3 linked regions of the Rattus norvegicus genome follow. The protein of the gene in region 2 interacts with the protein of the main gene of each other region in a biochemical or structural test. Links are inferred from orthologs where the notes say so. Each region holds a gene or a part of one and is shown on either strand. Other genes may lie near its edges.

What was found.
Region 1: the proteins of Hdac6 (region 2) and Mapk3 form a complex in vitro, tested with the Homo sapiens proteins (2 studies listed by BioGRID, with this or other methods). The link is inferred for Rattus norvegicus from reciprocal best matches to the Homo sapiens genes HDAC6 and MAPK3.
Region 3: the proteins of Hdac6 (region 2) and Cttn form a complex in vitro, tested with the Homo sapiens proteins (3 studies listed by BioGRID and IntAct, with this or other methods). The link is inferred for Rattus norvegicus from reciprocal best matches to the Homo sapiens genes HDAC6 and CTTN.

Annotation. Positions count from the first base shown.
Region 1 is NC_086019.1:190,795,765-190,800,036, forward strand, and holds the start of Mapk3 (mitogen-activated protein kinase 3), read left to right. Parts: upstream 1-1,429; 5' UTR 1,430-1,463; coding exon 1,464-1,636; intron 1,637-2,553; coding exon 2,554-2,736; intron 2,737-4,272.
Region 2 is NC_086039.1:17,233,137-17,236,781, reverse strand, and holds part of Hdac6 (histone deacetylase 6), read right to left. Parts: intron 2,192-3,645; coding exon 2,065-2,191; intron 1,972-2,064; coding exon 1,906-1,971; intron 1,814-1,905; coding exon 1,754-1,813; intron 1,677-1,753; coding exon 1,587-1,676; intron 473-1,586; coding exon 366-472; intron 277-365; coding exon 209-276; intron 16-208; coding exon 1-15.
Region 3 is NC_086019.1:209,043,981-209,047,625, forward strand, and holds part of Cttn (src substrate cortactin), read right to left. Parts: intron 2,848-3,645; coding exon 2,737-2,847; intron 2,315-2,736; coding exon 2,204-2,314; intron 1,448-2,203; coding exon 1,337-1,447; intron 323-1,336; coding exon of another isoform or gene 279-322; exon of another isoform or gene 136-278; intron 1-135.

The sequences.
Region 1 (4,272 bases), on a different chromosome or scaffold from region 2:
CAATTCCCAGCAACCACATGGTGGCTCACAACCAACTGTAATGGGATCTGATGCCCTCTTCTGGTGTGTCTGAAGACAGCTACAGTGTACTCACATACATGAAATAAATAAATCTTTAAAAAAAATTTTTAGCATTCTTATGGTAACATCTTTGCTTACCTAACCATCTTACTAGCCTCGATCCAGGGTCTTGATTTTGCTGTTTGGCACGCGCACGTGTGTGTGTGTGTGTGTGTGTGTGTGTGTGTGTGTATCTGTGTCTGTGTGTGTCTGTGTGTGTGTCTGTGTGTGTGTAAGAGAGAGAGAGAGAGAGAGAGAGAAACAGATTGTACATTTTAATTGATTTAGTTATCTTTGTTCACAGTTATCACCCTTTCCCTCCTTCTCATATGAAGTGGGCTGGGTTGCATGTCCTCCAGGCAATAACACTGGGTCTCAGAACACACCTGAGCCCACTGCAGGCCTGCCTCTTCACAGGAGCATACCTGACTTCACAGCTTTCTAGTGCTGCCTGCCATCCACCACCCTTCAGACTGCTTCCTCACTATAACACTTAGGATAAGCCCACCACCACCACAGGGGGGCCCAGCAAACGTGGGTACTTCCTACCAAGTCTGACAGCCCAAGTCGGATACCTAGGACCTGCACAGCAGAAGGAATCTGATATCCTCTGATCTCCACACAGGCTCTGTGACATACTCATGCCCCAACACACAAAATTAATAAATGTGGCAAATAAACGAATAAGAAATTATGGAATCTGGGCATTGTGATACAGTCTTTAATCCCAGCACAGGGGAGTTAGTATGCTGAGGCCAGCCTGGTCTACATAGTGGGTTCCAGGACAGCCAGTTCCATGTCAAGAGACCCTCTTAGAAAAAGGAAGAAAGAAAGAAAGGAAGGAAGGAAGGAAGGAAGGAAGGAAGGAAGGAAGGAAGAAACGAAGGAAGGAAGAGAAAAAAAGAAAAAAAAAGAGAGAGAGAAGATGGAAATGTGGCTCAGTGATAGGATTCTTGCCTAACATCCAGAATCTGCATGATGGCTCAGGCCTAAAGGTAGGAGGATGTGGCCAACCTCCACCACATAGAACCTTTGGGGCTGGCCTGGATTAATACTGTCTGCGTAAATGAAACAAAAAGTGAGAGGCAGGTCTCCAAAGTTTAGGGGTGGGTTCCCTCAGCATCACTCAGGGCCACTGGCCCCTGGGGCTGCAGTACTCTCTAGGCAGACTAAAGTACCCTAGTGGCCAAGGCAAGGAAGGAACAGCGTAACTAGGCGGGAAAGCCGGGCGCGCTCTCAGTAGACCACGTGACATCGCGGGCCCGCGCAGGCTCGCCGGGCAGGCGCGGGGGCGGGGCGCGCGGGGGCGGGGGCGGAGCCTGGCGCGCGGCCCCGCGGTGACAGGGCGGCAGGGAGGGGCGGGGCCGCGGGCGGGGCAGCGGGGGGAGGCGGGAGGAGTGGAGATGGCGGCGGCGGCGGCGGCTCCGGGGGGCGGGGGCGGGGAGCCCAGGGGAACTGCTGGGGTCGTCCCGGTGGTCCCCGGGGAGGTGGAGGTGGTGAAGGGGCAGCCATTCGACGTGGGCCCACGCTACACGCAGCTGCAGTACATCGGCGAGGGCGCGTACGGCATGGTCAGGTGAGGGGGTGTCCCAGGAGGGGGCTTCAGAGCGGGGACAGCAGGTGCGTGCCCGGGACATGGGGTCCGGGGAGTGTCGCAGGGGAGGGATCGTGCAGTGACTTCTGGGGGACCAGGAGCTACTTTCTCCGGGAAGGGGGGTTGGAGGCTTGGAAGCCACCTTGTATTGTTAAGGGAGGGGCACCTGGGGGACCCTAGAGATACAGGTGGAGCTAAGAGGATGACTATTCTTGGTGAAGGGGGAGTGAGAGACCCATAAGCAGGTAGTGGGAGCCTTGGTTCCCCCCTGATGAGGTTGTGACAGAGTTTGAGAGAGCAGAGCAAAGCTCAGGGTGGGGCAAACCTTTGCACCCCTGCCCCTGGCCTTGCCAGAGGCCCAAAGTAGGGAGGGGTCTCTAGAATGTGCCTTATTTTGTGGGATACAGGTTTGTGAGTTCTCGCTGCCCCACTCTGTGCTCTGGGCCTTTGTTCCTATGGGAACAGCTCTGACCCAGGAACCTCACCGGGAGACAGACCTACCCCTTCTTATCTCTTCCCCTGTCCCATTACTGAATCCTCTGGGTTTCATCCACTCTCTCCATTTAACTCCCATCCCCTGGACCTGTCTTGGATTGAGAGAGTCCAGCTCAGGAAAGGGGAGGAGGGTGAGGGCAACTACAATGTAAGAGGGTCCAGGAGAAAGGAAGTCAGTGAGTGGCCACTCTCTTCCTCTGTTTGTGAAGTCACTGAAAGGCTGCCTGGCTGGTCCCCAGCTTTCCCCCTGGAGATTCCAGGCCTTCACAGCAGGAAGGAGCCAGCATTGTTTACACTTGGCCAGAACCCTCTCCTGCTCTCTCCGGTCCCTGCCAAGGCCTGGGTGGGGCCACCAGGCCTGGATTCCCCCTTTGTAAGGCCACACATCTCTCTGGCTCTCTCAGCTCAGCATATGACCACGTGCGCAAGACCAGAGTGGCTATCAAGAAGATCAGCCCCTTCGAGCATCAAACCTACTGTCAGCGCACGCTGAGAGAAATCCAGATCTTGCTGCGATTCCGCCATGAGAATGTCATAGGCATCCGAGACATCCTCAGAGCACCCACCCTGGAAGCCATGAGAGATGTGTATCCTTTAGCCACAGCTCCAGAGCGAGGCTAAGGAGCTTGGCTTTGCTTTCTGTTGTCGTCTGTTGTGCCACCCTCAAAAAAAAAAAAAAAAAAAAAAACCAAAAAAAACCAAAAAACTTAAAAACCCAGCAAAGTAACTTTTTAGCTGAGAGTCTACGGAGCAGAAGAGCACCCTGGCAGGCCTTGGATCCTGGTCTGTTGCAGCCAAGTGGAGTGGCCTTGAACACATCCTTTTCTGCTCTGTGCCCCAGTATGGTGTGTGGGGAGGGGAGAATGCTGGGCAAACCATCTCTATGGGAGCTTTGTCTTCTGACATCTGCAGTTCTGTGACATGACCCAGTCTCTGCCCACAGCCCTTTCTTGCTCAACAGACTCACGATTCTTTAGAGACCTCACACTGGATTGAAAGCGAGGAAGAAAACCAGCATTGGGCATGCCTAGCGCTTTGGTTCTAATTCAACCTTTTAGCTTCCCTGTGTGATGAGCTTTACCGCGTCCATTTCTAAGATGAGGAAACTGAGGCTCTGTGTTTTGCTGGGCCTTCTGTGGGGGAGGGGCGATACTTTCTCCAACGTGGAGAGGGTGGAGGCTTTCACACCACCTTGCATTGTTAAGAGGAGGAACCTGAAGACCCTAGACTCACAGGGCGGAGCCACGCCTTTGCACTCCTGGTCTAGCCAGGGGCTCAAGGAAGGACGAGGGGCCCTGAGAGTCTGCCTATAGAAGAAAGCCTAAATTCAGCTGTTCCTGTTTGTTGCTTCCTCTTCTTCCCCAGTTGGCTTTCTTGGAGCCTTCCCACTCTTCTGAGAGCCCCACCCTGATTACCTGCGGCCTTGTACCTTGACCAGGAAAGGTAGTCCAGCCCTTGTTGCCCTTGCTTGACACTGCTTGCCTAGTTCAGACATTTAGTTCATTGTCCACATGTACTTCCTGCTTGGCGCCATTGCTAGTAGACTGTAGCACCCATGGCCTCTTCCCTACCCACCCCTCCCGATCCCAGGATTTGTTCTGCAGCCTCTGCAGCTCTGACCACAGGAAATCGACTACTCCTGTCTTGTTGCATGACCTTCAGCAGGTCTCTGCACCTCCGGACTTCCACATTTGTAAAGCGGCAGGGTTGGTCCATGTGTGTGTATCTGCATATGCTTGTTCTCTCTTCTTCTTTTTGAGAAAGGGTCTCCCTATGTAGACCAGGCTAGCCCTGAACTCATAGAGATCCTGGGTGCCACCAGCCCCAGCTCTCACATGTCTTCTGTGGAAGACAGTTCAGACTTCATTTTTTGAGAAAGTGTCACTGTGTATCCCTGGTTGGCCTCAGGCTAACTCTGTAGACCTGGCTGGCTTTAAACTTCTAGGCAAGCCTCTGGCCTCTGCTTCAAGTGCTGAGATTGTAGGAGTGACGTACTCTGCCCAGCTCCTGATTACTCTTCCAAAGATAAGCCAGATGACATTTGTTTGTGTTTAGTCTTTGTTTTATCTTCAAGTATAAAAGGACTCTCAGTTCTCCACCTTCTGGTGTACGGTCAAGCTCTC
Region 2 (3,645 bases):
CATCCTGGGGCTCAACTATAAAGAGGGGACTCAGATCACCCTACTTCCTGAACCTGGATCCCGGCACCACACTCTGAGACAAAAAGTGGCCAGGACAAAAGCCCTGAAATTCACACAGCCCTTTCCAACAAGGCAACAAGAGGAGATCTGAAAGACAATACCCTCCAATAGCTCATTCTAATGGTGATCACGGCCATCCACCACTTACCTGATCTCTCAAGGACTTCCCAGAAGGGTTCAAGGGCTTCTAGAGTGCAGGAGATAGAAGTCTGGGCGCTGGGGATGAAGGAAGCAGAAATATGACTAAACTACCCCTCCCAGCAGGCAGAAAGGGCTTCCCTTTCCCCTGCTCCCCCGAGGCTCACCTTGCACAAGGTGCAACAGGGGACTCCAACATGGGGCAAGGATCTCCAAGAAGGGTGTGGAGTGAGCCACTGACGCCCTTAGCCAAGGCATGGAGGTTATAGCCACCCTAGGGAAGGAGTTGTTGGGGGAGGCAAGCAGAGGGCCAGATATTACCAGGGAGAGATACTGAGAATAGTAACAATATTTGGGTGCATCCTATGTCAATCAATAAGAAATTTAGAGAATGACTTCATTTAATTCATGATAAATGAATGGAAAGTGATTATTACTATTATCATGTTGCTGACTTGACATAAGGGGAGCAGAGGCACAAAGAGTTTATGAAGTGGTAAGGCTGAACCAAGAAATCAGTTTTAAAAAAAAAATCCCAGGCTGGAGCTGGAGAGATGGTTCAGTGGTTAAGAGCACTGACTGCTCTTCCAGAGGTCCTGAGTTCAATTCCCAGCAACCACATGGTGGCTCACAGCCATCTGTAATGAGATCTGATGCCCTCTTCTGATGTGTCTGAAGACAGTTATAGTGTACTCACATACATAAATAAATAAATCCTAAAAAAAAATCACGTTAATTATTTACTTTATGAAGTTTTTACCTCCATGTAATATATATGTATATGTGTATATATGTTTGAGCCTGAGGGATCTCCTGGCACTGGAGTTATGGGTAGCTGTGAGCCACCATGCTAGGAAACAAACCCAGGTCCTCTGCAAGAGCAAGTGCTGTCAACAAGTGAGCTATCTTTTCAGTCCTGAGGAACTCCTTACATACATGAAAGCTCTTGTTTTTAGTGGTCCCGAGAATGGAACCCTTATAATATAGTAGCTAAGTATTCTACCTTTTAACTCCATCCCCTAGGCCCCAAAGATCTGTTCTTAAGCCTTCATGTGGGGGTTGGGGATTTAGCTCAGCGGTAGAGCACTTGCCTAGCGAGCACAAGGCCCTGGGTTCGGTCCCCAGCTCCGGAAAAAAAAAAGCAAAAAAAAAAAAAAAAGCCTTCATGTGGGCCAGTGAGATGAATCAGAGGATCAGAGGGCTTGCCACCAAGCCTGAGTTCAATCCCCCAAAAGAATCTACATGGTAAAAGGAGAGAACCAACCCCTCCATGTTGTCTTCTGACCACACCAGAGTGTGCCCACGCACACATATATACAAGAAATAAACAAATACAAAAGCCCCAAGCTCTTTGGTATCTCGGGGTTAGATAAAGGTGAGTTACTCACCTCCAGAGACAGAATCAACTTGCCTCCTGCCAAACCCATAAGGAAATGGGTCAGGTGGGCAAATCCTGCTGGAGTGGCAGACATCTCTCCCTAAGGGGACATAAGAATGACATGAAGCTCAGTGTACCCCCCTTTGTCTGCCTAACACCCCAGAGAACCTGCCTTACCTTGGGGTCTCCATGGAGGGCATCAAATCCAGCGGCCACCAGGACCAGTTGAGGCTGAAACTGAGGAAGGGGTCAAACTAAGTGAGAACAGCTGCCTTCATGGATCAACCCTCAGTGTTACCCCTACCCCAAATCCCCCAAATCTCCCGGACCTCAAAGGCAACTGGCAGCAGGATGTGCAGGAAAGCAGCAATGTAGTCGGCATCCCGCATCCCCACCTGCAGACACAGAAACGCGATGTAATAGTCAGTCATCTCTCTGGAGCCTCTGGGAAAGCAGGCTAGGCTCAGTTTATGGGAGCAGAAACTTACTTGGTTCCAAGGTACATTGATGGTATATCCTTGGCCTTGGCCAAAGCCTGTAGTGGACCAGTTAGAAGCCTTAAGGTGGGGCCAGAACCGACCATGCTCATAGCGGTGGATGGAGAAATAGAGTACACTAGAGGCAGAGAAAAGAAACATTGAGGGATCAACTAGCTTGTGTTAACCCAATCCCCAGCACAGAAAAGAACATGAAAATTGAAGGGTCAAGTGTAGGACTCTTGACCTACAGCTGCAGGGACTGGTTCAACAAGTTGCTTTTACAGCTACTCAATTCATTCTCTTATAAGTTTTTCTTTTTTTAAAAGGAATTATTTATTTTATTTATATGAGTACACTGTAGCTGTCTTCAGACACACCAGAAGAGGGCATCAGATCCCATTACAGATGGTTGTGGTTGCCTGGAATTGAACTCAGGACCTCTGGAAGAGCAGTCAGTCTTCTTTTTTTTTTCTTTTTTTGGAGCTGGGGACCCAGGGCCTTGCGCTTGCTAGGCAAGCGCTCTACCACTGAGCTAAATCCCCAACCCCGCAGTCAGTCTTCTTAACCACTGAGCCATCTCTCCAGCCCCATCGCATACATTTTTTCTAATTCTCAATCTATACTCATAATTTTTCCATTAGTTTACCCTTCCATTCACTTACCAACTTCTTCATTTTCTCATTAATTCTCCCATTTTTTCTACATTTTCACTGATCTCCCACCAGAGCCCTTCTGTTAGTATCTACCCAATTTCAGACTCAAGTCTAAGGTCTCAAGAGCTACTGAGTCCACCCAAGGACTTGGGCAATGCTGACCTTGTGAAAAACTCTTAGGTAATGTCTTCTCATATCCACCCCCCAAGTGCTATTATCCCAGGGTAATAACAATATTGGCTCCTGGGCGTCCACAGAGGTCCTGGGAGAACGTAAATGCAGAAGCCAGTGAGAGCTGTAAGAGTCTCGAGGCCATGATAGGGAACCTAGTGATTCCACTGAAAGAAATGGACAGATGCAGAGGCTAGAAGTGAGGAAAGATAGGACTCAGTTTTGTGTGTGGTGCTAAAGGAAAGGATCTTGTCTAAGGCTGCTATGACTCAGTTATGACAGTCCTTCTTCCTTAATACGTCACAAAGCCACCTCTACTACTTCTATTTCATAGATGAGAAAATGTCCACAGCAGTGAGAGGGACCAACATACGAAACTGAAATTGAAATGACATAATGGGCAGGTTCTGGCAGGTTCAAACTGAGAGGAGATACACAGACACACAGACACACAGACACACAGACACACACACACACACACATCGTTCTGGGTAAAGAGTCATGATGAATAGGTCCTAGCTAAGAAGGCGTGGTCTTCATATTGAGTCTAAAAGGCAAGATGTACAGACTCCAACAGAAAGCACAGGAGAGGGGCTGGGGATTTAGCTCAGTGGTAGAGCGCTTACCTAGGAAGCACAAGGCCCTGGGTTCGGTCCCCAGCTCCGAAAAAAAGAACCAAAAAAAAAAAAAAAAAAAGAAAGCACAGGAGACAGTTTTGGGCAGTGGTAGGTAATTCTGTTTTGAGTGAAAAAAAATCTTTCACTTG
Region 3 (3,645 bases), on a different chromosome or scaffold from region 2:
CAGCCCGGGGACACAAACCAGAGCAGAGGGATGGGCAAGCTGCCGAGGACGGGCTCTCCTGGCAAAGCCAGCTGTCTAACCACAGTGCCCAGTGCAGGTAGGGAGCAGGGGAGGTGTGGGCATGCTTCCAGGAATGGGGACAGGGAGGGGATGGGCGCAGGCCGGCGGGAAGAAAGCGGAGGAGGGAGGACACAGGACAGGCCTTTGCAGTGCACACTCCTATAGCACAGTCTTCGCACCAGCAGGCCTTACTCTCATCTGCTTCCTGGGCGCCTGCTCTACTGGGCACTAATTAGAGGCCCCACCGTAGTGTGTTCTCTTGCTTTTTAAAAGAAAAAAACAAAACAAAAAAAAACCTCTGTGTGGAAATGCCACCAGACGAATCTGTCTGTCGCTGCCACACACAAACACATGAAAGTGACGGTCATGCAGCCTAGACATCACAAGGACCAAAGGCCACCTCCACACAATCTGCTGGGCCAGCACTAAGTACACTCGCCCTGGGCCTGATGGCATCTGGGAGCCTACAGTCCACGCTGATTCAGGGCGTCACATGCCTCCGCCTGGACACTGTCGGGTTCTAGAACCAGATCAGCTCTGGGGACCAGGTCTGATCTCTCAAGGAGAAGAAAGAGCAATAGCTACTGAGATCTCCAGGGCATGCCTCCCCTTGCCTGTATCAGCCACACACACAGTGTGCACTACGGTGAGGCTCTGGGTGGAGACAAATAGCACACAGACAGTGTGGCCAAAAAACAAAACAAAACAAATACATACACAAAACCTTGTACGCCTGGCCAAAAAGCAAAACCAAAAAAAACCAAGAAAACCAAAAACCAAAACAAAACAAAACAAAAACAAAAAATAAAAACAAAACAAAACCCACCACCACCAAGAAAAACCCCACACCACTGTAAACAAAGACACAGGGGGCACATAAAACAAGGCTATAACACTCCACGACCCCAGTGTGTGGTTAGCATCAGGTCTGGGAGAAGTAAATCAACTCCCTGTGGGTCAGAGGCAATGAGGAGGTGCTCAGAGATCAGCACTGGGGGTCGGCAGCGATGAGGCCAGAGGCTGCAGATACTGCCTACCTACAGAGTGCCTCCTAACCTGAACCCAAAGGTCGGAGGGAAAAAGAATGGGTGGGGTTGGGGGGGGGGGGGGGGGGACCGAGCTCCAGGTTGTTCCTCTGGCATGAAACTGAGTGGAGAACATCATGGCAGCCAGTGGCGGCACAGGAACTGTCACAGGCACTGTGGTAAACCCTGAAGTCTATGCTGCAAGCCAGCTGCACTGCAAGGGCTGGTAGGAGGAGGCAGGGGAACTGTGCCTTGCTGGGACTCGTGCTTGGCCAATTTCTCCTTGTAATCAAACCCCACAGCGGAGGAGTCCTGCCTCTCGGACTGAACACCAAATTTGCCTCCGAAACCAGTCTTATAGTCTGGAGATCCACGTGAGAGAGTGAGGAACATGACCGAGAGAGGAAACAGCTAGGTTAGAATCACATGAGCACGTGCGATTGTCAAGTACATCATGTTCAGACACAAGAGCTCTGATCTGCTGTTCTAACACTGACCGAGGTGTTAAGGAACAAACTCAGAGGCCAGCAGGCTCCAGTTGAGATGCAGAAGAAGGGTTGGAACTGGACGGTAAATGTAAAGTTTAGTTAAAGCTCCTCCAAGCTTCAAGGTTTGCCGGGAGGGACAGCTGGGGACAGCTATAAGGGTTCTACCCTCCTCAAACCAGCTTTCCCTGGGACAGGGTCCCACTGTGACAAGAAAAACTCCTCTAATTAGAAGGAAGTAGGCAAGGAATTGAGGGAGGCTCAGATAGAGACAGAATCTGTCCAGCACAGATCGTCCCTGGTTCCATCTCCAGGACCACAGAAAGAAGCCTGTCTTCCATACCATGGCCCACCTTACAAAGGAGAATGCAGGAACCCGGAGGACAAAAGCCCCATAGTAACCAGGCTCCCAGGGGCTACAGCCCTGGCATAGGGGGTGAGATGGGATGGGATTGTCTTATCCCCCTGCCACCTACAGAGACTTCTGGAACTGGGGGAGACAGGACAACTTGACACCATGAAAACAAAACTCAGACAAACACGGCTAACATGAAGCATGTGAACCCCTGAGGAACGAACACGAGCTTCCCAGAGGGCCCTGAGGAAAGCAGGGAGTGGGGCTAGAAGAGGTACCTTTTTGGGATTCATGCAGCTGCAGCTTCTCCTGATGGTCCCAGCCAAGGGCACACTTGTCCTGTCTGTCTGTCTGCACACCAAACTTTCCTCCAAAGCCTTTTACATAGTCTGCATGCACAACAGAAAGCCATACCCCGGCATTACTGCACAGCCAGGACAAAGAAGAGGTGGGTTTCAGATGCCACAAGACACACTTCACTAGTCCCTGGTGACACCCGACAGAGCCCTCCTTGAGATCACCGCATCTTAGGAGTGTGGTTAAACAGGCAGGACCAACGCATGCAGCCCTCAAGGCAGCGAGGTCTCATCACACACAGGCAGACGTGCGTGACAGGACACTGCTACAAGCAACACTGGGGCTTGGGGTCAAAGATGAGGCCACTGTTTGAGTTCTCATGTAACCACAGTCCGGGACCGGCCGCCTTAGGATGACCATTTAAACGACTGCAGATGACAGCCGTTTTTCTCTTCGGTGGCCACACCTGTCATCCTGGGAGGGGCTGGCGAGAGGAAGGTAAAGTGGCAGGTACCTTTCTGGGACTCATGCTTCTCTGTTTTGCCTTGATACTCAAAGCCCACAGCGCTTTTATCCACCTTGTCCTTGTCAATTCCGTATTTGCCACCAAAACCTTTGGAGTAATCTGAAACAAGAACAGCACCATATGGAGAACTAGCAACAGGGTGAGTTAGAAGGCTGGGGGTGCCTGCCACAAAGTGCGAAAGCCTGAGTTCAATCCCTGGGACCCACATGATCCATGGTATAAGGACAGTACCAACTCCTGCAAGTAGTCCTCTGACAGCCACACATGTACTCATCCATACACAAGCACAAAATGAATACACATAAAAAACTGAGCCAGGGGGCTGGGGGTTTAGCTCAGTAGTAGAGCGCTTACCTAGGAAGCGCAAGGCCCTGGGTTCGGTCCCCAGCTCCGAAAAAAAAAGAACAAAAAAAAAAAAAAAAAAAAACTGAGCCAGCATCAGACTAAATATTATATGGTCTTTAAGAATGTAAGTTGTGACCTGTCAAGATAGCTCAGTAGGCAAAGGCACTTGTCACTAAGCCGAATAACCTGAGCTCAATCCCTAGAACCCACATGGTGGGACGAGAGAGCCCAAGTGTGGTGGCTCATGCCTGTCTCCAGCACTCAGGAGGCCAAAGCAGATTACTGAGGACCTAAAACCAACCAATCCATTACGCACTGAGTTCAAAGCCACCCAGGGCGACAAAGTGAGACAGACGTTGGCTGAAAACAAACAAAATCAAAACCAAACAAAAACAAAAACAGAAAAGGGCCAGAGAGACGAGCACAGGATGCTCTTGCAGAGGACCAGATCCAGTCCCCAGCACCCACATGGTAGCTCACAACCACCTGTAATGGGATCTGATGCCCTCTTCTGGTATTCACGTGTTCATGCAGACAGAGCGTCATATAAAT